Xenopus tropicalis: one gene and its partners. The protein of the gene in region 3 interacts with the protein of the main gene of each other region in a pairwise test. Links are inferred from orthologs where the notes say so. Each region holds a gene or a part of one and is shown on either strand. Other genes may lie near its edges.

The links. The genes of interacting proteins can lie anywhere in the genome.
Region 1: the proteins of ppfia1 (region 3) and txlna interact in binary tests that used the Homo sapiens proteins (3 or more experiments, as listed by UniProt). The link is inferred for Xenopus tropicalis from reciprocal best matches to the Homo sapiens genes PPFIA1 and TXLNA.
Region 2: the proteins of ppfia1 (region 3) and ptprf interact in a two-hybrid assay, tested with the Homo sapiens proteins (2 studies listed by BioGRID). The link is inferred for Xenopus tropicalis from reciprocal best matches to the Homo sapiens genes PPFIA1 and PTPRF.
Region 4: the proteins of ppfia1 (region 3) and ptprd interact in a two-hybrid assay, tested with the Homo sapiens proteins (2 studies listed by BioGRID). The link is inferred for Xenopus tropicalis from reciprocal best matches to the Homo sapiens genes PPFIA1 and PTPRD.
Region 5: the proteins of ppfia1 (region 3) and dtnb interact in binary tests that used the Homo sapiens proteins (3 or more experiments, as listed by UniProt). The link is inferred for Xenopus tropicalis from reciprocal best matches to the Homo sapiens genes PPFIA1 and DTNB.

Annotation. Positions count from the first base shown.
Region 1 is NC_030678.2:86,598,245-86,603,406, reverse strand, and holds part of txlna (alpha-taxilin), read right to left. Parts: intron 2,791-5,162; coding exon 2,716-2,790; intron 2,314-2,715; coding exon 2,221-2,313; intron 1,830-2,220; coding exon 1,815-1,829; coding exon of another isoform or gene 1,723-1,814; intron 1-1,722. UniProt on the Homo sapiens protein: May be involved in intracellular vesicle traffic and potentially in calcium-dependent exocytosis in neuroendocrine cells.
Region 2 is NC_030680.2:89,619,754-89,624,915, forward strand, and holds part of ptprf (receptor-type tyrosine-protein phosphatase F), read left to right. Parts: coding exon 1-131; intron 132-769; coding exon 770-796; intron 797-1,862; coding exon 1,863-1,980; intron 1,981-3,903; coding exon 3,904-4,482; intron 4,483-4,563; coding exon 4,564-4,661; intron 4,662-5,162. UniProt on the Homo sapiens protein: Possible cell adhesion receptor. It possesses an intrinsic protein tyrosine phosphatase activity (PTPase) and dephosphorylates EPHA2 regulating its activity.
Region 3 is NC_030680.2:14,513,700-14,518,861, reverse strand, and holds part of ppfia1 (liprin-alpha-1), read right to left. Parts: intron 3,216-5,162; coding exon 3,114-3,215; intron 1,881-3,113; coding exon 1,716-1,880; intron 1,300-1,715; coding exon 1,225-1,299; intron 877-1,224; coding exon 775-876; intron 565-774; coding exon 343-564; intron 1-342. UniProt on the Homo sapiens protein: May regulate the disassembly of focal adhesions. May localize receptor-like tyrosine phosphatases type 2A at specific sites on the plasma membrane, possibly regulating their interaction with the extracellular environment and their association with substrates.
Region 4 is NC_030677.2:126,371,488-126,376,649, reverse strand, and holds the end of ptprd (receptor-type tyrosine-protein phosphatase delta precursor), read right to left. Parts: intron 3,526-5,162; coding exon 3,371-3,525; intron 1,807-3,370; coding exon 1,671-1,806; intron 1,079-1,670; coding exon 1,010-1,078; 3' UTR 404-1,009; downstream 1-403.
Region 5 is NC_030681.2:161,052,320-161,057,481, reverse strand, and holds part of dtnb (dystrobrevin beta), read right to left. Parts: intron 1,006-5,162; coding exon 792-1,005; intron 1-791.

The DNA.
Region 1 (5,162 bases), on a different chromosome or scaffold from region 3:
GCTACAACAAGGAGCTGGCCACTGCTCCTGTATAAGCTATAGCAAAAAAAGGGAAAGTTGTGCTCAACCACTAAATTTTAAACCATTAGGGGGTTTTAACCTTGAAAGCAAGAAAGTTGCAGGTAAAACTTAGCCCCTTGGCTAAATGTATATTGAAGCAGTAGAATTCTTAATGAATCGCATAAGTCAGTGTAGGAACTGGTCAAAAGGGATGACTGACGCAGTTGGCCAGCTTGAAGTATATTGCAATATATGGACAAACAATCCCTGTTTTGCTTAAAGGGAAGGGCATTTCTTAGTAGCTTAAATGCACCGAATGTCTTAATGTCCTATATATTGATAATGGGTGAGTGCAGAGGATCTCTTGTTGTTGTTTCTATGTATTTCGTGGTCACAACCTCATTGCACCCCCGCCTAATGGTTTAAAATTTAGTGGTTGAGCCAATATCACTCCCTAACAACACACAAAGCAATACATACTGATCCTGAAAGATTAATTGCTGTGAAAGGTGCTGCAGTTTCACAGGGGCTAAAGTAAACTGTCCCAGTGTAGAACATTTCAGCGAAGGATTTGTTATTCAGTCAAGACAGAATTGGTCAGGGATCTGAACTCTTTTGCAAGGAATCTACAACTACATACTTATATGCCAAGTACAGTTGACCATGTTCTATGGGATTACTTTAGAAAGGTAAGAGGGGGTTATAGGATGTAGAGCTGTGAGCAAAAGTTTGCATGTTTTAAGTGAATTTAAGTATTAAAAACGGTTGGCTGGTTGATTTGGGTTACTGGACAAAGGCAACATTGTTTATGGAATCACTTATAATACCAGAAACTCATACTTCGACACACCACTTACATAATTCCATAGGGTGCATTCAATTCCAAGGCTGCTTCAAGCCAAACCCCATAGACCTTCATCCAGGGAAAAAGCACATCAAAATACCGGCAATTGCCTTTAACACATTTATTGCATAGAGATTTTTGTGCCACAAAAATGTGCCAGATTTTTGGTGTGCTTCTTCCCTGGATGGAGATTGCACTGTGACTTGTAACACTTGGAAGCAATTCCAAACAAATGCATCATCTCTGAGACACCCTGTTAGACATAAAGCTAATTGTTTCACACATGTATATTTCTGTTTATCTGTTTATGCCATGATTAATAATAATGCAGGCAGTCTCATAATAAAAAAAACGTATTTATTCCACCCCCCCCCCCTTACCTTTCTAAAAGTACAAGTACAAATTTGGAAAAAATAAATAAATAAAAGAATCATTAAATGTGGGCTGCATGAGATAGCAATAAGTTTTATATTTAAATTTCAATTTCGTTTACACTCCAGTTCTCTGCCAAGCTTCCATGATTTTGCCACATTGTTTTGGTTAAAAAGGTTTACACCAGTAGTGTATCATTGCCCAGACTGGTTTCTATCTTACAATCTGCCTAAGCCCTCATATATACTTTATTTCGTTTTTTTGCATATTTGACTGAGGTTTGCCACCCATCCTGGCCTTTGCCGATCGCTGGTTAATTGAGTTGTGTTAGGTTTTTGATACCAGTTATTTTGTCTTTCCTTTTACAGTGTTCCAAGTTCTGTGCTGATTTCCAGAAAGTTTTAGGTCCCCAAAAGGGCCTCGGTGAATATATATTGCTTCCTATAAAATGTGGAGTCCTGTGTTATTTCCATTCCTTCCATCCATCCATGCATGCATTCTCTTACCTCTTCTGCCATGACAAGCAATGCTTTGTTACTGCTCTCCCATCGGGACCTATACATGGTTGTCTCTTTTTCCAGCTTCTTAATCTTCTTTGTCATCTGGATACATTATGAGAATAAAGGAAGACTACATTAATTCAATGTTACTTTTAAATTTGTTTTAAGGAACTTCTCTTAGGATAATGGCACTAGGTGCCTAGAGTAGTCCAAAACCACCACCACCACACCACAGACAAGCTATGAAATTGCTTGTTGAAGAACTGCAGTAGTTTCCCATAAAATTATCAGTCAGACAATTTCAATGTAAGTCTGTATGTAGTTTTGAATACTTTGGCTTTGTGTTTTTGGACTACTTAAAAACTGCAGCACTCAACGTGTTCCATGTGCCAGTATCCTTAAGCTGCAAGAAATAAAAATTAAAATAAATGCTTTAATGATCCAACAGCTATTTACTACATTTTCTGCAATGAGCAGTAAAATTATTCATTATTTAATCCTTACCTTTTCCATTTCTTGTTTAAAAGTGGTGAAAACCTCATTGCTTTTAGACAAGGTGTTTTGAAACTCCTCAAACTTCTCTGTATACAGTGCTAACTAAAGGACAAGAGAATTTTTATCAGGTTTAATGGCCTATAAAAGGTTAACATTTTTTACTTGAGTGAGGAAGTCTAATATGGGAAGATTTTGTTCACAAATAAATACAGGTATGGGATCCGTCATTCAATCAAATAATTCAGATTTTTAAAATTGATTTCTTTTCTCTGTAATAATAAAACAGTACCTTTTGATCTCAACTAGGATATAATTAATCCTTATTGGATGCAAAGCAATCCTATTGGGGTTTAATTAATGTTTTATTGAGTTTTTAGTCGACTTGAAGTATGGAGATCCAAATTATGGAAAGACCCCTTATCCAGAATACCCCAGGTCCCCAGCATTCTGAATTCTGCCATGGCGCTGCTTTTATGGTTGTGGGGGGGGAGTGTAGTGTACAACCTGTTGTTTGAGGTGGGTCTCTTGCTGTTTCATTAGTTCACACATGCGCTGGGATTCGACTGCCTCTTTCAACAGCTGTAGGAGATAAAAATCAGACCGTATTCTAATCTCTGACTGCAATGAGACCAACACAAAACATGCCATGGTACCTGAAAATATTAAGTAAATATTACTAATGTAGCTTTGTAAAAGTTTAACTGACCATCGGCAATAACAGGACAAACTGGAGACTATATACTTTAAAAGCATGGAAGCAGCATCAAGAAATAGCTAACCCACGAATATTTTATCATCATAAAAGAAGAGGGTACTAGGAGGAAAAAGAATGGGGTATGATAACATGTTGCTTTAAAAGTAAATGTATTTTATAATTACTGTTTTTGATTTAAACATTTCAATACCTTCTGTTATTGCTGTTGTGACACAAGGTTCTTTAGAGAGTTGTTCAGTGGGCAGATAACTGACCTTTTGTCTGTCAGTTTCCCTTTTTGCTTTGCATTCTTACCTCTTACCTTAATACGGTGGCTAACCTTAAAGGAATACTGTCATGGGAAAACATGTTTTATTTCAAAACGCATCAGTTATTAACACTTCTCCAGCAGAATCCTGCATTGAAATCTGTTTTTTTTTTTTTTGTTTTTTTTTAAAGTACAGATTTTTTTTATATTTAATTTTGAAATTTTACATGGGGATAGCCATATTCTTCATTTCCCAGGGTGTCCAATAAACTTCAGTCACACTTTTACTGCTGAGCTGCAAGTTGGAGTGGTATCACTCCAGAACAATGGGAAGGTAGTAAGATAGCAGCTCCAGGTAGATTTCACTCATTAGTAAGAAATCCAAGTCTGGCTTGGGACTCCTCCAGTTAAATGGAGTAGGTGAAACAATAGGTTATGCAATTCTAATGTGTGGCGCTGGCTCTCTTTCTAAAAGCTCAGATTAAAGGTGGCCATACACGCACCGATATTATCGTACGAAACCTCGTTTCGTACGATAATCGGTGCGTGTATGGCATGTCGGCGAGTCGACCGATATCGCAGGAAGCTGCCGATATCGGACGACTCGCCGATCGGACAAGTTTGAAAATTTTGATCGGGCGCCATAGAAGGCGCCTGACCAAAATTCTCCCTTCAGAGCTGAATCGGCAGAAGGAGGTAGAAATCCTATTGTTTCTACCTCCTTACCTGCCGATTCAGCCCTGAATGGTGTGTGGCGGATCTTACGATGTTTCGTGCGACCGATGGTCGTACGAAACATCGTCGGATCGCCACGTGTATGGCCACCTTTAGGCACAATGCACCGAGATGGCTACCTACACAACAATATTATAACAAACAAAATCCATATGTTGGTTTAAGAATAACATTTTAAATGTTAGAGTGAATTATTTGCTATGTAAAGAGCGTAATTTGGAAATAAAAAGTACACCATAAAAATCTTGACAGAATCTCTTTAAATTAAACATATAGTATGATGTAATTTGTAAGTGTGACACAGCTTAAGTCTACATTTTGTATTGCCTGTGGTTCCCGATCTGCTTAAACGGTTTGACTTTCAGTTCTGCTTCCTACAGACGGAAATATAAAATACATTACGGACACCAGCAACCAAATGTGTATTAAACCTAAATCTATATTTTAATTTTATTTTCATTACATTTTTGTAATTTAGCTTTCTGTTCATCTATCAGTTAGTCATTTAACTGTACCAGTAATTAAGACATTAGTAACAGATTTTGAATTTCAAACTGGGGTGCTGCAGAACAAAAAGCTTAATTATCTTATCTATACCCCTGTATACATCATGCTTAAAATCCTATTGTCCTGATTCCACTGCCAGCGTATGATGAGGTCATTGTGTGGCTTTCTAGGTGAATTTTTTTCCCTTTTTGTTTAGGCTGAAATCTCTTCTGGTGCTATATTATAGCTCAACATGTTGAATACCAAAGTACAGGACAGGATAAGGTAGTTGGGCAGGGTTATTTCCATTTCCTGCTCCCTACTTCAGGGTGGAATGAACATTAGGGCTCGTTTATGAAGTGAGCACAAAGTGCAAGGTATGGATGCAGATCATCATGTTCACTGCCAAAGTGGATGCAACTCTCTTTGTAAACAGGGTATCAGTTAATGCAGCTTTTTACTTATTGAATTTGTGTGCAAAGGGCAAATGAATCATTGCAATGGATATTGCCACAAAGTGTTTATAGGTGCAGGACTAACAGGACTTCCTACCCCTAACTGGAAGTTCTGTCTCCTATGGACAGTACAAAGTGAAGAAAAGGATTTCAGAGTAAGACATAACTCCCCTTTTATCCTAAGCCTAAGGTGGACACAAAATAAACCGAGAACCAACGTCTCCTAAGAAAGGTGAGAGAAACTGTCAGGGAGGACTGCATCAGTAAACCGCAGTCCCCGATCTGATGGAAAAATCAAACCTGCCTGATTGAC
Region 2 (5,162 bases), about 75 Mb from region 3:
CATGGAAGTCTCCTCTACCAACCAAGCAAAATGGGCAAATTAGGGGGTATCAAGTCACTTATGTTCGTCTAGAAGGTGGAGAGCCTCGGGGGAATCCCATCATAAAAGATGTTATGCTGTCAGAGGCTCAAGTAAGTTTTGATATGTAGCAAGGTATGTTTAACAAACACTGTGGCTTTTAATTTTTGGCTATGTTAAAATAAAAAAAAAAATGTAGGCGCCTAAAAAACCCTTTTTGGGGTTTACTCCATAAAATGGAGTCTCCACTGGTTTGACTACCTCTCTCCTTGTCTTTGCCCACTTGTTGCCTTGATCTGCGACCCACTAACCCTTAGCTGGTTGCAGTACACATGTTGTGTTATGTTGCAGTCTATCAAGCATGGTTCTCCTTTGTTGCTGTAAAGATAGCAGTGTATATCTTACATGTATATACCCAGACTTACCCAAATATATACCCTTCAGTAAAACTAAAACCTCCATATACTGAGCATGACTTCCCGTATCATATTTATCCAAAAATATGTGTGAAAAAACATCTCCTCATAGCATGTATACCCATCAAATTTGTTATGCATGTAACCTTTTTCCACAAGTCTGCACCAGGTGTAGTGTTTGTAGATACTATTTTTCTAGCTTGATTCTGTGCCACAACAGTTTCTTCATTTAACATGTTCATAGCTATATGTGTTACCCTTCTGTTTTGGCCTAATGACCCTGTAAACCCGTGCCTGCATTACCCATTTACCCCCTGTTCTCTCTGTCTTACCAGTGGAGACCTGAGGATGTGGGAGATTACGTGAGTATCCCTTGTATTTTAAGTCTCTGGGCAGACTGCGTGATCGCATTTTATTTCATGAGAAAAGCAGGCTGCCACAGAGCCAACCTCTGCTGAGAAGTGAATAGCACAAGCAATGCCCAGCTCATGTATTCAGTGGGAACAATATTTACATTAAAGAAAGAACCTATAGAGTGTCCCTTTACAGAATGCCACCTCTTGTAGTTTACTGGTTAATCCCGCTGCTATGAGAATCTTGGGTTTGCTTGTTCCATTTGCACCTGATCTGGCAAGCATATGTTGGTCTTTGTGACAGTCTTCTGCCTGTTGCATAATCATTGGTTAACTTGATTGATTTCTTGGATTCTCTACCTTTGCAAATTTACTGTCCTCTATTTTCCCCTTTATCACTCACTTTTGCTGTTGTTTGACTGTCTCTTTTCCCATGATCCACTCCTTTCAACCTGCGAGCATGGAGTGGCAAAATTAATTTGCATGGAGGCCTGAAAGATCATGGGTTGTGTTGGTTTCTTGATCACTGGGGTCTATATTGGTCGGAATGTATTTTGGCTGGTGCTGGGGCTGGCATCTACACCTACCCTTGCCACATGCAGCCTTGTGATTGTCATGCTAAAGACATTATGGCGTATAGTTTCCAAAAAAATGTTTGGCTTAGTGACTTGCACAGAAAATAAATGGATTGCCCTTCATCTTCATCTTTATGAAGCTTAAATTGTACTGCATTCCCTTGCAAAACATGGCATATATTACAAGTTATAGCTTTCATGTAGTTTTTATCTTTATTTTTCAGTTCATTCCTGGGTCATGGGACATGTTAAAGTTTTCTATTACCTTATAAAGAATGGTGGTATAAAGATTAATATTGTTTTTCTCTTATTAAAACACAAACGATCTGCAGAGCACTAAGCCACTTTTTTCTTTTAAGCGAGTTTCTCTCTTGCAAGAATGTAAAGCATCCTGGATTCTATAACATGATCTCACAGCTCCCCCTTGTGAGCTTACACATAATTCCAAGTGCTTGATGTACTTTTCTTGTGTGGTGACACTATTTATCTCCATTATTTAGGATGCTGTTATCACTGGCCTCTCTCCTGAGACCACTTATTCCATCACTGTGGCCGCCTACACTACTAAGGGAGATGGTGCTAGAAGCAAACCCAAGGTCGTTAGCACCACAGGAGCTGGTAAGAATAGAATGGTAACTAGTATTTGTTGGGCCCAGCTATAGACACACAAAATTGTGTTACCATCCGTTACAATCAATATTATAAGAAAATGACAAAATGAAAAAACATTGAATCCCGAGTTTAGCTCATGGGTTTCCAATTGGATAGCTGTGAATTACTGATTGCAGCATTCTGATGTGCACTGTAATGATTATGTTGTGTCCTAGGTCAGTAAAAAAAAAAAAATCCTGCATTCCTTATGATGGCTCGTTATAAGATCCATGGCTTTTCTGGCTAAAACAAGGGTACCCTAATATCTAAGGGTTGGTTAGTTATAGCTTTGTAACACTGGATGGGATGCTGCTGTATATGACTTAATTTCACATAAATGTAGCAAGCAATATGATCCCAGGTCAATAATTCAGTACAAACAAATGGGTCAGCCTTTGTGTGCAGGATGCTGTGTCATTGAACACTTAAAGGAAAATTGGATGAGGGTGACCAATTAAAAGGGTTTTTTTAAATTTCCAAATATTCCTATTGCTGTATTATCCATACTGCGAACAAATGCTTGGTCCCATTCCAGCAGTACAGTGCCTAACTCTATAGTTATGGCCAGCAAAGGAGTTGAGCTGTGTTAATGTTTTATATCCATTGTTTTACATTAACTATAAAGATATGTCATACAGCTTTGAATCCTTTGCCATTTGAAACAAGTAGGAATTTTCTTTATGCCACTCCTGTGGAAGTGGCATGCTTGGCAGCTTGTTTCTCTCCTCCTCCAACCCTTCCCTGTGTTAATCACCCAATAGAGTAGGTAGTTTTTAAGCAGAAACACGCAAAAACGGATTAAGAAACTCCAATTTAATAATTTTTCTGGATTAGTATTAAGCTACAAGGTTAGAGAATTATTTATCACTTTCAACCTGTTGCTCTTCTGTTATATTTGAACAAGTAGTGCAAAAAAACAAAAACTGTTTACTGGGTCTTATTGCTTGGCAGTGATGATCATAAGTGTACAGTATGGGGGAATTAAATGTTAAATGTGATGAGCTCTGCTGAGCTTGGGTAGTATAGCATAGAAAGGAAGATAATGTTTGTATTTGTCAGGACAGTTTGTCTTAATCTCTGATTGGGAGTGGTTCTCAGAGCTTCTGTGTTGGTTCATTAACAGTACCAATATTTAGAAGTGTATACTATATGATGTTATGTACGCTACTGAGTGTGCTGTGATACACTGGTAGCCTCCAGGAGAGCTTGTGGGAGAGTTGATAGAATATTGTTTGCATTACAAAGAGAGCATCTTTATAGGATGAGAGTGACATGACCAAAAAGGTCAGCTGCAGAATTGCTTAACATGAGAAGCAGGGCATATAGCACGGAAAGGAAGGCACAATTTATATGTGCAATTCCTCTTTAGAAAATTAAACATCTTTTCCATTACTTGTAAAACCATGTCAGGAATTTGGATAACACTGCTGTTTGACTTTAATAACATCCAAGATGTCTAGGCATGAAACATTTTATTAGACAGTTTTACTTAGTAAGCCACAACCCCAATTAATTTTGAAAGGGTTTTAGCAAACAGCAGTTCAGTTGCCTGGATTGACCAAATATAGATCCAAAAGGAGTCCGTTCTGTCTAGAATTTCAATATACTATCTTATATATAGGGATCATCCATGGAAGTAATTACAATTTTATTCAGAATGCTACAGGTTGTGATACCTGTAATGGGCCAGCAAATGCACAATTTTCCACACTATGTGGGCTTTGTAATTTGAAAACTTAATCAGAGCTTTAAAGACTTATGTATTCTTCCAAAGACTTGCCTATTTTCTGTGGTTTTGTTAAGGTTTCTGGTAGAAACCTCAAGATAGGTGAAAGATCATTGAAGAACACAGCTATAGATTTTAATTATTAATGTGATAATATCTTTCAGTGCCTGGTAAACCCACTATGATGATCAGCACCACAGCACTGAACACTGCTCTGATCCAGTGGCATCCTCCAAGAGAGATTGTGGGAGAGTTGTTAGGATATCGTTTGCAGTACAAGCGAGTGGATGAAGACAGGTTTATTACAATTGATTTTAGCAAGAATGAACATCACCACACAGTGACTGGGCTACATAAAGGTGCAAGCTATATATTCAAGCTTTCTGCAAAAAACCGAGCTGGAGCAGGGGAGGAATATGAAAAGGAAATTTCCACAGCTGAAGATTTTCCTAGTGGGTTTCCCCAAAATCTGCAAGTAGTTGGACTTACAACCTCTACTACAGAAGTGTCCTGGGAACCACCAGTGTTGTCTGAGCGCAATGGAAAGATCACCAACTACACAGTGGTGTATCGGGACATAAATAGCCAGCAGGATCTCACCAATGTCACTCGCGACACACACATAACATTGGTCAATCTCAAGCCAGACACCACATATGACATCAAGGTCAGGGCAAGAACAAACAAAGGCGCTGGCCCTCTAAGTCCTAGCATTCAATCACGTACAATGCCTGTTGACCAAGGTAACATAAGGGAGATGTAGAACTTTATAAGGGCATGGACATGTATGTTAGTAACTGAACAGTTTCTTCCTTTCTTTACAGTGTTTGCTAAGAATTTCAGAGTAAACGCCGTGACAAAAACCTCAGTCTTGCTAAGCTGGGAGCTGCCTGATTCTTACAAATCAGCTGTGCCTTTCAAGGTTAATATTACAGAAAAGTACATTTGCTTGTTATAACATATCAGTCTACAAAAGTATTAAGTGTTTCATAGAGTCACAGTATGACTCGGTTGGACAGTGTTTTTTCCTGGAATAAACCATTTATTAGATATACCATCTACAGTACAATTAGTGATTTGATGGCATATACATTACTCTTGAGCAGCTTGGGGGCCAGAAAAAATGCCTAGATGGTTGAATTTGGCTTTAAAAGCATTAAAGCACCTCCCTTTAATTTTCATGGATCTTCACCTTATACAAATCAAGGCATAGGGCCTTCCATAGCCTTAAGCTTGCCATACATGCACCAATAGTATTGTGCAAAACCTAGTTTTGTACAATATTCGGTGCGTGTTTGCCGGATCAAAGAGACGACCAGTATCGCGAATGCTTCAGATATCAGTCGCCTTGTCGATTGGGTGGGACAAAAGATTTTGATTGGGCGCCATTGAAGGCGTCTCAGCAAAATCTGTATTTAGAGCT
Region 3 (5,162 bases):
CTTTACCCACTACATCAAATCTTAAAGCAAACCAACAGAGATAATGTTTGCTCTCAAAATTAGGCCTGGGTGCAAAATTTATACTAGGGCCGCCGCCTCCCAAACCTGTGCTTGCCATCCTCCGTACCAAAGATCACAGCAACCCTATGTGGACCCAGAACACCCCAAAGGTGAGGGCCTTATGCAGTGGCACCCCTAGCCCCTCTGAGTATTCTATACATTGCTATGTCCCTGGGCAGCTCCCCAGTGACCCAGAGCTCTCTAAACTAATGGGATGGGTATAACTAGTACAGGGAGAAGCAGTGTTTCTTTCTTAATAATTGTACTGACTTTCCCTCTCACCTCTCGTACGTCCCGTTGAAGTTTTGAGTTCATTTCTTCGGATTTGATGAGGTCCTTCCTTGCAGTATCGAGGTCTTCTTCTAGCTCTGTTACCCGGTTGGAAAGAACAGCCAGGCGCTCCTTCATTTGAACTTGCTCCTTGGTTTGTTTCTCTATGATATCCTGGAGCTCCATCACTTTAGATAGGTCCTCATTATGATTTATAGAGCAATCTGATGATCTCTGTCATAAAAAAAAAAAAAATAATAAATAGCGGTAATCCATTTTAATCCAAAAATGTTATATTTAGGGGAGATGGATTAGGTTATCCAGGTCCAAACTGTCCATATCTATATTTACTGGAGACATAAACCAATACCAAAGCTACAACTGGACTTACAAGCACCATTACATATGCCAACATTGCCAGCAGCCGTGTTTGAACCATCTCACCTTCCCGTTAGCGTTAAGTGCGTTCTCTTGCTCGTGGTTGACATCGGCTGTACCGTCATTGAATATTTTCTTCTGATTATTCTGCTCTCTTGAAATCATCAGCTGAAAACAGACACATTTTGGCAAAAATCAGTTTGACGCATTTAAAGGACTCCCATCCAGAACAGTGGTTTCCAAACCTCTTCCTGTTCTGTACTTGCATGAAAACAGATGAGCATTCATTCCAATCCCCCAAAAGAAATGTACAGTCCATTCTGCCAACTTGAAAAAAAAAACCCACAGCTAATGGTATAAAATATTTACAGAATAACATCTGAGCAGGATCCGAAAAGGCAGTTGTATATAAATATATATCAGGCCCACTTGCCTGGGGCGGCCATGGAAGGCTGCAGACTTATCATTCAAACAATGCAGGAATACAGAGCAAGCAAGTTTAGAATGCAGACCTACCTCTTTGTGTGTTACAGCCAGTTCTTCTTCCAATAAGCTACATCTCTCTAATGCCACCCGTAACCTCTCTCTTACCTAAAGAAAAACACAGAATCAGGAAAAGAAAAATCCAACTGGAAATACTGAATGATCTGCAGATTAGGGGCCACATTGGCCAGTTTGTGTGTAGACAAAATGCAGAAAGAATCTAGAATGTCCTATTCCTAGCAACTTTGCAATTGGTCTTATTGGAAATTGGAATTATCTTCCTTCCTATTCTGCCGCTTTCCAGCTTTCAAATGGGGGTCACTGACCCCGTCAATCACTGACTGCCTGGTTGCTAGGGTAAATAAGACCCCAGCAACCAGACTGCTGCTGAAATACCAAACCAGAAAGATGCTGAAGAAAATGCTAAATAACTGAAAAACCATAAAAAATACAGGGAAGACCATCATTCAATGTACTAAAAGTGAATTTGAAGGTGAACTACCCCTTTAAAGTCAAGAAAATACCTTTTCATCCAAAGCTTTGTGATGCTCAAACAGAGACTTTAGTGCTTTTAGGACTTCAACTTCACTGGACACACCAGCAGGGGACTGAGCCTGCCTCTTCACCACGGTCATTCTTAGGGACCTTTCGTGCCGGGAAACCAGACACTCCAGATGTTCTAGTAAGAGCTAGAAAAACACACATGAATGAAACTAGGCCCAAAGCTCAACATCCGCACAGTGCCTACACAATCTATCAATGCACCATCTATGTCTTTAGAGGCAAACTATAACTAAAGAGATTTTTATGTAACCCAAAACAAGGTGCCTAAGTTCCTCACCCTTCTTAAGTGAAATGAAAAGCATCCCTAACCTTGTTCCATTGGAAAGTGATGGATTTTGACTGTGCCTCTGCTTTCCAGAGAATCTGTGCATCCTCTATAGAAAGCAAAAGGACGTCAAGTCCCAAAATCCATCATTTTACAATGGAACAACAAGAGAGGGGGTTTGCATTATACTGTGAGCCTAATGGTGGGCAGACACAAGCAGATTTAAGCTGCTGATTCAAGCCCTTTAGATCGAATGGGCAGCTTATATGCCCATGCACGGGGCCCCCGGACTGATTATATTGACAGCTCCTAAAAGGGTTGTTGTAAATCGATCGTTTGGCCCTAGAGACAAATTAGCCAACTTTTGCCAGCCAATCGAGAGATCTGCTCGTCCTTGCCAAATGAGCAGATCTTAATGTTTTAGGGCAGTGGTGGGCAAACTGCAGCTCTTTAGCCCCTTGAATTTGGCTCTTCCAGGTGCGGACTAGCACGTAAAGTGCGATTGCATTTTCGTTGCCCATAGCAAAAATCAGCAGGAGGGGGTGGTCTTTGGGCTACGGGAGAAGCAGCGTAGGCGGGGGGCGGGAGACGCAGTGCAGGGGAGGCTCGCTCGTTTCATGCACGAGTGAGCCAGTGACAGTCTGCAAAAAAATTGGCTCTCAAAAGAAATTTCAATCGCTGTTTTGTTGATATTTGGCTCAGTTGACCAATAAGTTTGCCCACCACTGTTTTAGGGGATATTGTGAACTGGTTCCTATCTATAACAAGCTTCCTTTCAATCTGTGGAATACAGTACCGATTAGGCCTGGACTGCTCTGTGGATTCTGGCAAATGCCAGAGGGGCTGCTGTAAGATGCCATAGACTGTCACTATTGGGCTCGTGGGGAGGCTGTTTGGGCCTCTGCGTACTAGAAATGCCAGGGCCTATTTTGAATTCCACTCCAGCTCTGATACAGTTAGTGTACATGTACCTTTTCTCCATAAGCCCAAGTGAATGAGCTTAGGTCAAAAAGGGGAGGGGGGTATATTTTCCCTTTAATGAGCAGCCATGCTGCACACACATATTCCAAGCTAGCATTCATGCTTGACTTACCCTAGTATTGTTTCTTTCAGCCTTTAGTTCAGCTATTTCTTCCTCCCGCTCTAGAAGCTGCTCTCGGCAAATATTTAGCTCTTTTGTAAGTGCGGCAAACTCCTATAAAAGAGAATAAACATGAGCGTTTCACAGACTTGCAGGATTATCATAATAACAAGCAAACTGAGTGCTTTGCAATCAGATGTTTATGGAGCTGAGAAACAACTGAAATAATGATGCCGGCACACAAATAGCTCTGCTACAAATCAGCATTAGCTCTATTGTCCCCATGCATTATCATATGTTTGTATAAATGTGTGTAAGTCACAGCTAGATGCTAAAAGGCTTTTTACAAAATGAATTATTTCATTCTGCAACATCAGATATTTGTTGGCAATACGGTACATGGATTCTTATCAGACTGTCGTCTGTCGTGTCCCTGTCACACAGTGTTTAAATGTTTGTCTATGGGTTCTTGTTTGGCGAGTTCCTCACAGGAATGTACCACCTTGTTAAATAAAGAGGTCAGCCTTACAGACACGAGGGAGAAAAGCAGCGCTGGGAGCTGTACAAGTTAAGCACCTGTCATGGCTTCGCTGTCAGTCGGAGAATTTTAGTATCCCGGGGAGGGGAAAATACAGGATTTCTATGGAATAAATGACAACAACCAGGCTTTTAAGTTGGTAATGTGACGTTATCTGGCTCCAACCAATGGCAGCAGCTAAATACACTGAGCCCACACCCCACATGGAGATGTGTCTGGCTCCAACAAAAATAACAGCCGATGACCACACAGGCTTATAAGCAGCCAAATGTAATGAGCAAACACAGCACCCTACCACCCCCACTCACTGACGCATAGAACTCCCACTGAGCAAGAAACAGCTGACAGAGCACTGGTTTCCAAACTATGGGGACTATTCTGGCAGCTTCTCTGCCCATGTATGGGCACCCCCGACAGGCCTACCCGACCAATACCTGGCCTAAAATTGGCCAATCACGGGTAGATTTGGTTTTCTGTCAGATCCGGGACAGCATTGGCTCGTTGATGTGGTCCTTGATCTGTCTGCGCTTATGCCCGATGTTGTAATTGATCATTTAGCCCCATATTGGCCACATTTAGGTGGGCATATTGGGAGAAGATCCACTTGCTTGGCGAGTCAGACAAGCAAATTTACCCGTGTATGGCCACCTTAAAGGCCACTCAGGTTGAGACTTGGGGCTGATATCGATTGGCTGGAGGTCTGGCCAGAAGATCACATTGGACCTGGTGTCACCAATTACATGTAAGTTTAAGATGAAGAGAACTGATGTTTCCAGTAACCTTCTTATGATAATGGAGGACCACAAAAAAAGTTTGGGCAGCTTGGCGACAAATGTAGCAAAATGCCAGCAGGCAAACACAGCCAAGATACGTCCCCAGGGGGTTAAATGGTTTCAACCTTTCAACCGATGCAGTAAATTCCTCACACACAGTAGCAGGTTAATTATTGTACAGGGAAACTGCACAACAGCACAAGTGACATTCGCTGTAGGAAAGCCTTCCCGGGGCGCAAGGGCCTCATGAGAACATGCGCAGAACCTGAGCTCTGTTTGTGAACCCGCGTGGTCTATACAAACTGTAACCACAGGAGAAGAATGTCCATTTGTCTTCCTGCTTATCTCACTTCTAAAGGATCCCTCCCGAAAGACAACAACGTAGCATTTAATAGGGACATTCCAGGCGAAGTTAGGGGCCGCCAACCTTTTCAGGCTCCCTTTCTCACACACACATAACTTCGGAACGGCTGCCGACGCCAAGCTGTATTCTATTCCCATCCTGCCAATGGCATGGGAAATAATCAAGGTGATGGAGAGTTCAGCGAGGATGGTGGGGGGGGAGATGAAAGGCAAACTCTTCAAGCCCTTCGAGGAAAAACACCAAAAGACCAGGACCATCTGACTTTATTCATATCAAGTCCAATTGGATCTGTTTAGAAAAGCTCCGCTGCCAAAACGTCTAACTGGCTGTGAATTTAGTAATGCAGCAAACACACCACGTGTTCTATCACATATAATAAGGTTCTC
Region 4 (5,162 bases), on a different chromosome or scaffold from region 3:
AAAGTAGTAATGATATGATACTTTAGACTCTAAACCACAATGATTAACTCAAAAAACAAATCAATCTGTGGAAGAGCTGATATACAGTTTATGTATGAATATATATATATTTTATGTGTTCTTGCAGCAGCTTTATACTTTGCGCTTCCCTGTTGATTCCAAACAGAACATGAAAAAAGCTTGTCTTGAATGCTTTGCAAATAATATGACTTAAAAAAAAATGGGAATATGACGTTGTAAAAGAAGTATGAGATAAAAAATATGACACTTTATAAGTCAAAATGCACACATATGTGCAAATCTTTCAATAGTTTTTATATTTCTAATTAGGGATATTACATATAACAGTTCTACCGCATAAAAAAAATACAGTTCTGGATCAAAAATCAACAATTATGCAATGTTTTATTCACTTTCTTTATAAATTTTTGTTAAAAAAAAGGAAAATAAAGTTTACACCGTTAATAATGAAGCACAGGTCAGCAGTATCTTTACAATACTAAAAAACTAAATAAATGACTTTGTTTTTCAACATTTCCCACCCATTTCTTTTACTAATGTGTTATGGTCAATATGGATAGAAGGGCTGATGTCGAAGCAAAGATTCCATTTGTCTAAGAAGCCAGAAGTAGGCTCAATAAACATCTTGCACTGAGCTGTTGTATTCCTAAGATTTGTCTTTGAACAATCATGCAATCCCAGACAAGTTCATGGTTCTTTGCGATTTCCTCTTCCTCCCTTTAATGCCAACTGGTTCTGGATTATTCACAGAGAAATTATCCCTTCAGATGCCATCCCAGTGAGGGTTATTTATTTTTTTATGTTAGGTATTAAAGTGTGAATTCTTGGTCCACCCAGAAAATGTCTTTTATTTTTATAATATTCCAATTATTGTAATTGGTCTTTAGCTAGGAGTTAAGAAGTACATCCCAAGCACACTGTATGGCTCAGAAGAGGCTCTCTGGATCTTGAAGGGCCTGCAGGTAAATTTCTGGATGGGCCAGAAGTTCTACGTTGCATAGTGATCAAAGCTGCCCAAATATTCAAGTCCTGCTCGGTAGCAGAACTGATATTGATCCTAAACATGGAAAGAAAGAGAATGGTAAACTCAGTGTTAATGTATACAAACCGAATAACATACTATATACTTTGTTATTAATATTTAGTATTAGCACATGGACTGCACTGCTCAAATTTATTTGACACCATAGTAAACTTAGCTATATGTTGAATATTAGGGGGTGATTTATCAGCGTTCGAGTTTGATTTTAGTGCTACAACTCGCACAATTTTAATTATTGCTCAAAAATTCGAATGTCTGATATTTATTAAGGTAAAACAATCCAACAACTTGATGTAAAATGACGGCATTTAAAAGCTTGCGAGTTCATGTAAAAATCAATTGGAGGTGTCCTAGGCAAAGTCAAGCCATATAGAGATTTTCGAGTCTTGCAAAAAATGCAATAAAAAAAGAAATACTAACATCAAAGATCATAGTTAAAATTAACACTTAAACTATCAGTTATTTTGTACCTTAATTTCAAGGCATTTTACAAATCTATGCCTTAAATAGGCTTCTGAATGAAATTGCATCAGTATCTATTGAAACATTAAAACCAATAACTGTTCCAAAGACCTATCATAGGCATATGTAGTGTATGTTCCCTCACCTCTGTCTGTACCACTGCAGGCCGTTGCGTTCTCAACATTTTGACAGTCTGGAAGATATCTACAACACCCTCATATCTCATACGTTCTAATACTATACTCAGAGTTATGAAAACTCCTGTTCTTCCAACGCCAGCACTGTGTAAAAAAAAAAAAAAAAGTTCATGGTTAATATGATGTACTACTGAGCAGTATGACTGAGAACAAGTCACACAAAGTCATTCTGACACTAACACTTCATAAACAGGCTTTTAATAGGTAATTTCTGTATCCCACAGTAATTCTATTTATAGAGAGATTGTTACGGGGCTGTTCTGACATGTAACCGTTAAGAATGTTGGCATCATATAAAGAAAAATAATAAAAGAAGTTTATTTGGGGATTTAGGCTATTCTTTACCATTTAAAAAAAATAACAGAATATCTCCAAACTGAGGTTGAGAGCCCTCAGGCTGAATATCAACAAAGTACAAGTTTCAATAATGTTTCGCAAATATTTATTATTCAGGGACTAGAGCTAACACAACAGATAACAAAAACTGCTCGTACAGGTTTAGGAAATGTTAGTCAGAATGTTCAGGACCTGAGGTGTTCCAGATTAGTGGTCTTTCCGTAATTTGGATCTCCATGCTTTGTCTGCTAAAAATTACGTTTAATTTAATAACCCCAATAGGATTATTCTGCCACCAACATGGATTCATGCAGCTCTGTTACCATCAAGTACAAACTACTGTTTTATTATGACAAAGAAAAAGAATACATGTTTTAAAAGTGTGAATTATTTGTATAAAATGGAGTCTATGGGAGATGATCTCCCCATAATTTAGGCATTTCTGGAAATGGATTTACAGATTATGGAGCCCATACATATACTTTCTTGGCAAATGCATCTTAACAGTGCATAATAATATAGCATGATATTTTGCTTATACCTTTACATAATATACAAGTAAAAAGTTAATTGGACTTAAAACTTAGTTTATATATAACCTTCTAGTGAATAAATTATACAAGACACAATTGGATTGGATTATATATTCACAAATCAAGGTACTGTATATATGTATATATTTATATTATATGCACAGATTGTTATATTTTTAAAGCAATCATTCCATACAAATAACTATATTGTCCCCTTGGGAAATAGACAATACTTTGAAAATATGAATTTGTCCCACAGCCTCCAGAAGAACGGTCTTGGTTTATGAATCCAAAGCAGTGAATAGGGTAGAACAGATTTCCCTGTCTCCACACTTGGTTTGACCTTAAACTGTTCTTTAACAACCCATGCAATTTGCAAATGGAATATCAAGCTTGCACAAAGTGGCAACTGGCAGATAATGCTCTCTTGATGGTCCACTCTAAGGTTCATAAGTTCAGTTAAATATTATTATATTCTTCATTAGGTCTGAGAGGTTTCATTTTGTGACAATTTGATATATTAAATAATGTAAACCCTACTGAATCTTTAGGTACTGCCCATTATTATGGGCTGATATATTTGGTGTTTTATATTTCTTAGAAGAAAGTGCTGTAAAAGTTAGGAAAAGATAAACATATATGTCTGATGTAGATACACATGGATGTGTGCAGCCAAGAATGCTTGTCATATATTATACTGGAAGATAAGACATTTTAATCTCATATATTTTATCTAAAAATAATATTATACTACATAACTGTTAATAAGAATTATTTACCTGCAATGAACAGAGATTGGCCCATCCTGACCAAATTGTTCCTTTGTTTTATGTACTTGCCCAATAAAGTCAATAAATCCTTCTCCAGACTTTGGCACTCCTTGCTCTGGCCAGTCAGTAAACTGAAACTGTCGCACTGTTCGTGACTGGCCATCCTAAAAAATAATGATATGAAGATTAGTAAAAACCTATGGTACAACAGGAAAGTCATCAGTAAACCAACAATTATGGGTGTTCATTTTCCGTGTTAGGAAAATGAAAGCAGAAAAAAAAAGGCAAACTGAGCTTAAAATCAAATAGTATTTAGAATAGAATTTGAATTCAGTATTGCATTATTATATGTTTTATGTCCTTATATGTATATGTCCTACCACATCTTGTAGTAGACATGCCATCTGCCATTTATCTTTGATTCTAACTGGCAATAATAATTTTTCTAAAGGAAATCTAAACTAAAAGTGAAATCTTATTACCTACTTGTTAAATTCTGTTGTTAAGCTGTTGAGTCCAAGATAACATAACATGTCATTAGGTTTACACAATGTCTATTTAGAATTTTTATCCCAAGTAAAACAAATTGTAAACAAGTGAAGAAAACTGTTTTGCCAGCATTTCGCAAAATGATCTATAATTTTTTTTTTTTAAAAGAATGAAACAGTTTTTGGGTTCAATAATCACTCATTTGTCTCTGCAGCATTTGGAACCAAACACTTGTGCACAAAAGGTAGGGTAAAATACTGCCAATGTATTTGCCAGTAAACATGTAACTACTTGTTGTTCCACCCCAATTTCCTATTCGCAGGTCAGTCCTCTAGTCTACAGAAGCCCAATCTATCCTGTGCCGCCCCTTCAAGTCATTACCCCACCCCCTTTACAGGTGTCACACAATAACTGTGCTCATTTTGTGCCATAAACTGACCAGCCCCTACCTCCCCTATACCCTGGCGGGTATTATTCCTAGTAAAAGGTGGCAATCCTAATAGTAAGGAACCATGTTTATTGAGTTAGGGTAAAACATGGGAATGTAGCAAAGAACAAGGTACTGTATTGTACTGTAGTGGCAAAACCCACTGCAACAAAACTGCATTCAACTTTCCTTATTCAGCATTCTGCTTCCATCTAAATTATAGACTGCAAGAAGCTAGATAAATTTGGTCTCACATTACCACACCTAAGGACAAAATGATATGGTTGTGAAAAGACAATCTAAATGCAGCAGTTGAGCCCAAAGACACAAAGGTGAAGAAAGACGGCTCACTAAAAGGTTAGCAAGGCAATGCATATTATGGCATGTTGATGTTCCACACATTATATAGATGTCTGTTTTGGATACATCTTCAAGAGGAAAGAAATATTATGAAAAAATTCCCTTTTATATATATAAATATATATATATATATATATATATATATATATCTATATATATATAAATATATATATATATATATATATACACAAATGCAGTAGAAGCAGAGAAAGACAAGCAGTGTTGGGAGAGAAGAGCACCTTTGCATATTCTCATGTTCAGTTCCCAGTTTTCCACATAAAAAAAGATTCAAACTGACCTGTTCTAGATTGTATCCTGAAAAAATGGTTGTAAATATGTAACCGAAAAATGCATTTGCTAGGGAATATTCTAGCTCAAAGTGAAATTAACTCCACAAAAGATTCTACCATACCCACCTGGCTTATTAGTAAGGGCATGTATAGGTGTGGTGCCTCTAACAAGTTCTTATCTATTTGTATAAAAAACATTTATATACACAGTGTGCAATTTATTTGCTGACTTGCA
Region 5 (5,162 bases), on a different chromosome or scaffold from region 3:
CTGGCACCCTAGCCCTGAGGCACCCTAGCCCTGAGGCAACATAGCCCTGTGGGGTTATCTACAATCAGCTTCCCATTTCCCCTACAAACAGAGCTGTGTGCCTCCTTAGCCAAAGCCAGCTCTTGCCTTCCCAGGCTGCCCCAGTGCCTTATCCAGCCCCTAATCCTTACTTGTTAGCCCCCTTCTCTCCACCTTCCCCTTGTGGATGTGGCTTCTCTCCCAACCGGAGTTTCTGTTTAACCCCAGGGCATATAATTTAAGCTTCTTTCCCAATTTGCTCCCGAGACAAAACATAGGTTGGTTTCCAGTACAAGCCACTAACCACAACAACATGGATTTCTCTGTAGGCTGCCAATGCCTTGATTGGAGCTTCCCTCTGACTCCATCCGCCTTAGCAGATCTACAGGGCCTCTCCTGGCCTAAAGGGATAGTGAATTATTACTGCTAATAAGATCACTAGGTACAGTTCGGATGTGGAACAAACCCAGTATAACCAGAATCTCATATCTTTGCTGGTACTGTGGGCTCGGCGCTCGGTATAGAAGGCAACCCCCTGTATGTTTATTGCATGTGACTGGGGGGCTGAAATGTTGCAGCTTACCCAATAAACATGCAGGGGTATTGCCCCACTTGCCCTTGCTCTGTTACTGGGCCGGTATTACTGCAAAGTCTGCTTGCTGGCACTGAATAGGTTCTGTGTATATAGAACATTCCCAGCTGAGTCAGTAGTCGGAACCAGAAGGGAATCACTGCTGACACCCACACATACAGGGAAAGCCGACGGGACCGACCTGTCATAAGCAGCGATCATGAAGTTGAGCAGAAGGCTGATGGACTGGTCGACGCCGATCTGATGGGTGGAAGGGAGGCGCTTATTGAGCTGGTAGTATATGGACGATATGATGGTCTCTAGCCGGGACACGTTTATCTCTGTGTTGTGATCCAGTGTGTTAAGGCCGTTGTCCCGGAAAGCTTCTATCATATTCCAAATGTCAACCAGGTGAACTGAAAGAGAGAGGAGAAGGCAGGGAGTAAGTACAGGGGTGGGACAGAGGGCAGGGGGTAAGTACAGGGGTGGGACAGAGGGTAAGTACAGGGTTGGGACAGAGGGCAGGGGGTAAGTACGGGGGTGGGACAGAGGGCAGGGGGTAAGTACAAAGTTGGGACAGAGGGCAGGGGGTAAGTACGGGGTTGGGACAGAGGGCAGGGGGTAAGTACGGGGGTGGGACAGAGGGCAGGGGGTAAGTACGGGGGTGGGACGGAGGGCAGGTGGTAAGTACAGGGGTGGGACAGAGGGTAAGTACAGGGGGTGGGACAGAGGGTAAGTACAAGGGTAGGACAGGGCAGGGGGTAAGTACAGGGGTAGGACAGAGGGCAGGGGGTAAGTACAGGGGGTAGGACAGAGGGCAGGGGGTAAGTACAGGGGTAAGACAGAGGGCAGGGGATAAGTATGGGGGTGGGACAGAGGGCAGGGGGTAAGTATGGGGGTGGGACAGAGGGTAGGGGGTAAGTACAGGGGTAGGACAGAGGGCAGGGGGTAAGTACAGGGGTAGGACAGAGGGCAGGGGGTAAGTACAGGGGTAGGACAGAGGGCAGGGGGTAAGTACAGGGGTAGGACAGAGGGCAGGGGGTAAGTATGGGGGTGGGACAGAGGGTAGGGGGTAAGTACAGGGGTAGGACAGAGGGCAGGGGGTAAGTATGGGGGTGGGACAGAGGGCAGGGGGTAAGTACAGGGGTAGGACAGAGGGTAAGTACAAAGGTGGGACAGAGCGCAAGGGGTAAGTACAGGGGTGGGTCAGGGGGTAAGTATGGGGGTAGGACAGAGGGGAGCCCCGCCGAGGCGAAACTAACAAATCACTGAATCTTTATATCCCATCGGGGAAATAAAACAGAACAGGACAGTGTAGGAAATGGCACCTATGTATGTTGTGGATAAAGTGTTTCCGAATAACAGATCCTATCACAACGGACAATCTGAGAACAGTAGAAGTAGGAGTAAGAGTGTATAGAGGATAACCTGAGTATATTATGAGTATTTGGAGTATATGAGATTAATACATGGAGTGTATGAAGATAATGTGAGTATATAAAAAGCCTGTGCTTTGTATAGATGTTTATATTGGACTACACATAAGAGCATACAGGGTTATATGTTGTTTATCCTTGGATCAATAAAAGATATGAAAATAGAAGAACTCCGATGAAAGGTGTGTCTGTGCCAGTGGCCCCTAGCCTAACAAGGTGCCCAAGGTGCCACATCCCTGCGGGGGGAGAGCAGCCCACGCTTACTGATTTGACCTTGAGGATAACAAAAACTTTATTTTGGCCTATTTGGGCCACTCCAGTGCTTTATTGGCAAACTGCAGGCATACATTCACTTGGTCCTTTCTTTTGTGCCACCCTGCAGTGTGTGGGGGTATCTGTGCCAGGAACGGCTCAAAACTGCACCCCCACCGGATCTATTTTATCTTCTGGCAGCGAAGGCTCCATAGTAGGGTGTGGGGGGTAAACCTGGAGGAGTTAACCCTTGCCACTCTGAGAAAGTGGAGTCGCAGAAGGGGCATAGCCCCAGAAGGGAAGAAAAAGGCAGAGATTATTGCTTTACTGCTGCCCCTCCTACATTCAGATGCTGAGACTGTTACATCAGATGTTGCTATTGCTGGGGCCCCTGAAGCGGTCCGGGGGCCACCAGCCAACCCTACCCGAGACAGGGTTGGAGAGGTGTTTAAACAAAGGCTGGAATTGTTCCGTGAGGAGCTGACTGTGGCAGAAAAGATGGAGTTGATGAAAATGGTGCAGGAGGAGGTGGCCAGTGAAGGACATGGCTTAGGGGAGCATGGTAGGCTATCCGTGTCCTCAGTGGAGAGTCGGGCACGAGACATTCTGAAGCTTGCCACTGCCTTCCCCACATTTCACGAAGGGCAGGACAGCATTGATGCCTTTCTAGAGACATTTGAAATTATGTGCAGGGCCCATAACATCTCAGAAGAGGACTGGCCCCGAATCCTTTCTGGCAAGCTAACTGGAAGGGCCAGCGCTACATTTCGGGCCTTGTCTGATGAACAAAGACTGGACTATGAGGAGATTAAACAAGCATTGCTGATCCGTTATGCTATCACCCCAGAGTTTTACCGGCAAACATTCCGGTCACTGCTAAAGACCCCCCAGGATACTTACCTTGAGTTTGGTAACAAGTTATCAAGGGCCCTTGACAAGTGGGTTAAAGGGTCTGGGGCTGAAACAATGGAGGACTTAAGGCAATTATGCCTGAAAGAGCAATTTTTGGAGCGGTGCCCCCCAGGAGTCCGAGAGTGGGTTGTAGACCGTGAGCCACAGACAGTAGAAGAAGCTGCCCAGTTGGCAGACAAGTATATGGAAACCAGGATGCCTACAAAGAGAGGGCCCCAAGCACCAGGTACAACAGGTCCCAGGGCAAGAGAGCTGCCAGGCTCTCATCCGCATTCCACTGGCACTAATGCTGCTCCCCACCCACCGCTACCAGGGGCTGGACCTAGAAGCTGCTTTCGATGCGGGGCCCTGGGTCACTTTCAAGCTTCTTGCCCTCTAAACCAGCGATCTCCTTCTGTGTCAGGGGCTCCAAAGGTGACGCCTGCTCGACCTGTCGCCACTGTTCAGAAGGAAAGTGCAGAGTGTGACCTGCCTGAAATCAACCTAAGTGAGACCCCCGAATTTGCAGTAATGCAGATACACTGGGCAGATCAGTCCAAGAGAAAATGCCATGTGATTCCAGTGCAAGTAGATGGAAACCCAGTGGAAGGTTTCCTGGACTCTGGTGCCTTTATAACTCTGGCGGAACCTAGTGTGGTGACGTTAAATCGCATCGTTCTGGGGAAAATGGCCCGAGTGATTCTGGCTGGAGGACAGCGCAGAGAGGTGCCAATTGCACAAGTGACTTTGGACTGGGGAGAAGGGCCCGTGCTGCATGAAGTGGGGGTCATGGATCAACTTCCTGCTGATGTCCTGCTTGGAAATGATGTGGGAGACATTTGCTGCAGCATCACGAGGCGGCAGGCAGAGTCAGGCGAGCCACCGGCAGTTGTCCAGGAGGTAAATGGGCAGACAGATGTGACTGATGACTCATTTGACATAGGTAATTGGCAGGATTTTAGGGCTGAACAAGCAGCAGACCCTAGTCTTCAGCCATTAAGAGACAGAGCTGGGCAAGGGGTGGTAGGTACCGAAGCAGGGGAACAAATAGTGCAGGAGGATGGGTTGTACTATAGAGTCCTCAAAAGCCCTAGAGGAAAACAAAGGGAAGCATGCCGTCAGTTGTTGGTGCCTGCCAAATTTAGGACCCAGTTGCTGCACCTTGCACATGAGGTACCCCTCGCAGGGCACCAAGGGATTTCTCGCACGCGCTATCGCCTGCTACAAAATTTCTATTGGCCAGGGTTGTCACAACAAGTGGCACAGTTCTGCCGATCATGTGACAGCTGTCAGAGGGTTGGGAAAAGTGGGGAGCGGAACAAGCATACATTGCGACCCTTACCAGTGATAGGGGAGCCATTTCAGAGAGTTGCTGTTGATTTGATAGGACCCCTTAGCCGACCCAGCAGGACAGGCAAGCAATATATACTTACAATGGTAGACTATGCCACCCGGTACCCAGAGGCGGTGGCTTTACGGAGAATTGATGCCCCAGCCGTTGCAGATGCACTGATTCAGATTTTTTCACGAGTAGGGTTTCCTAGTGAGATCCTATCCGATCAAGGGCCACAGTTTATGTCCCAATTACTTCAGTGTCTATGGCAGCGCTGTGGGGTCACCTCTCTTCGCTCAAGCCCGTACCACCCTCAAACTAATGGCCTGTGTGAGCGTTTCAATGGGACTCTTAAAAATATGTTACGAACTTTTGTGGAGGCTGGAGAAGGTGACTGGGAGAAGTTTCTGCCCTGTCTTTTGTTTGCATATAGAGAAGTTCCCCAAGAGTCTACTGGGTTCTCTCCTTTTGAGTTGTTGTATGGGAGGCGGGTTCGAGGCCCCCTAGACTTGCTAAGGGAGTACTGGGAGGGGGGAGCCCAATTCCCTGAGTTTCCTGTAGTTCCTTATGTTCTACAATTTCGTAAACGTCTAGAGAAAATGACCGCTCTGGTGAAGGAACATCTGACAGCTGCTCAAACCAAACAAAAAGTTTGGTATGA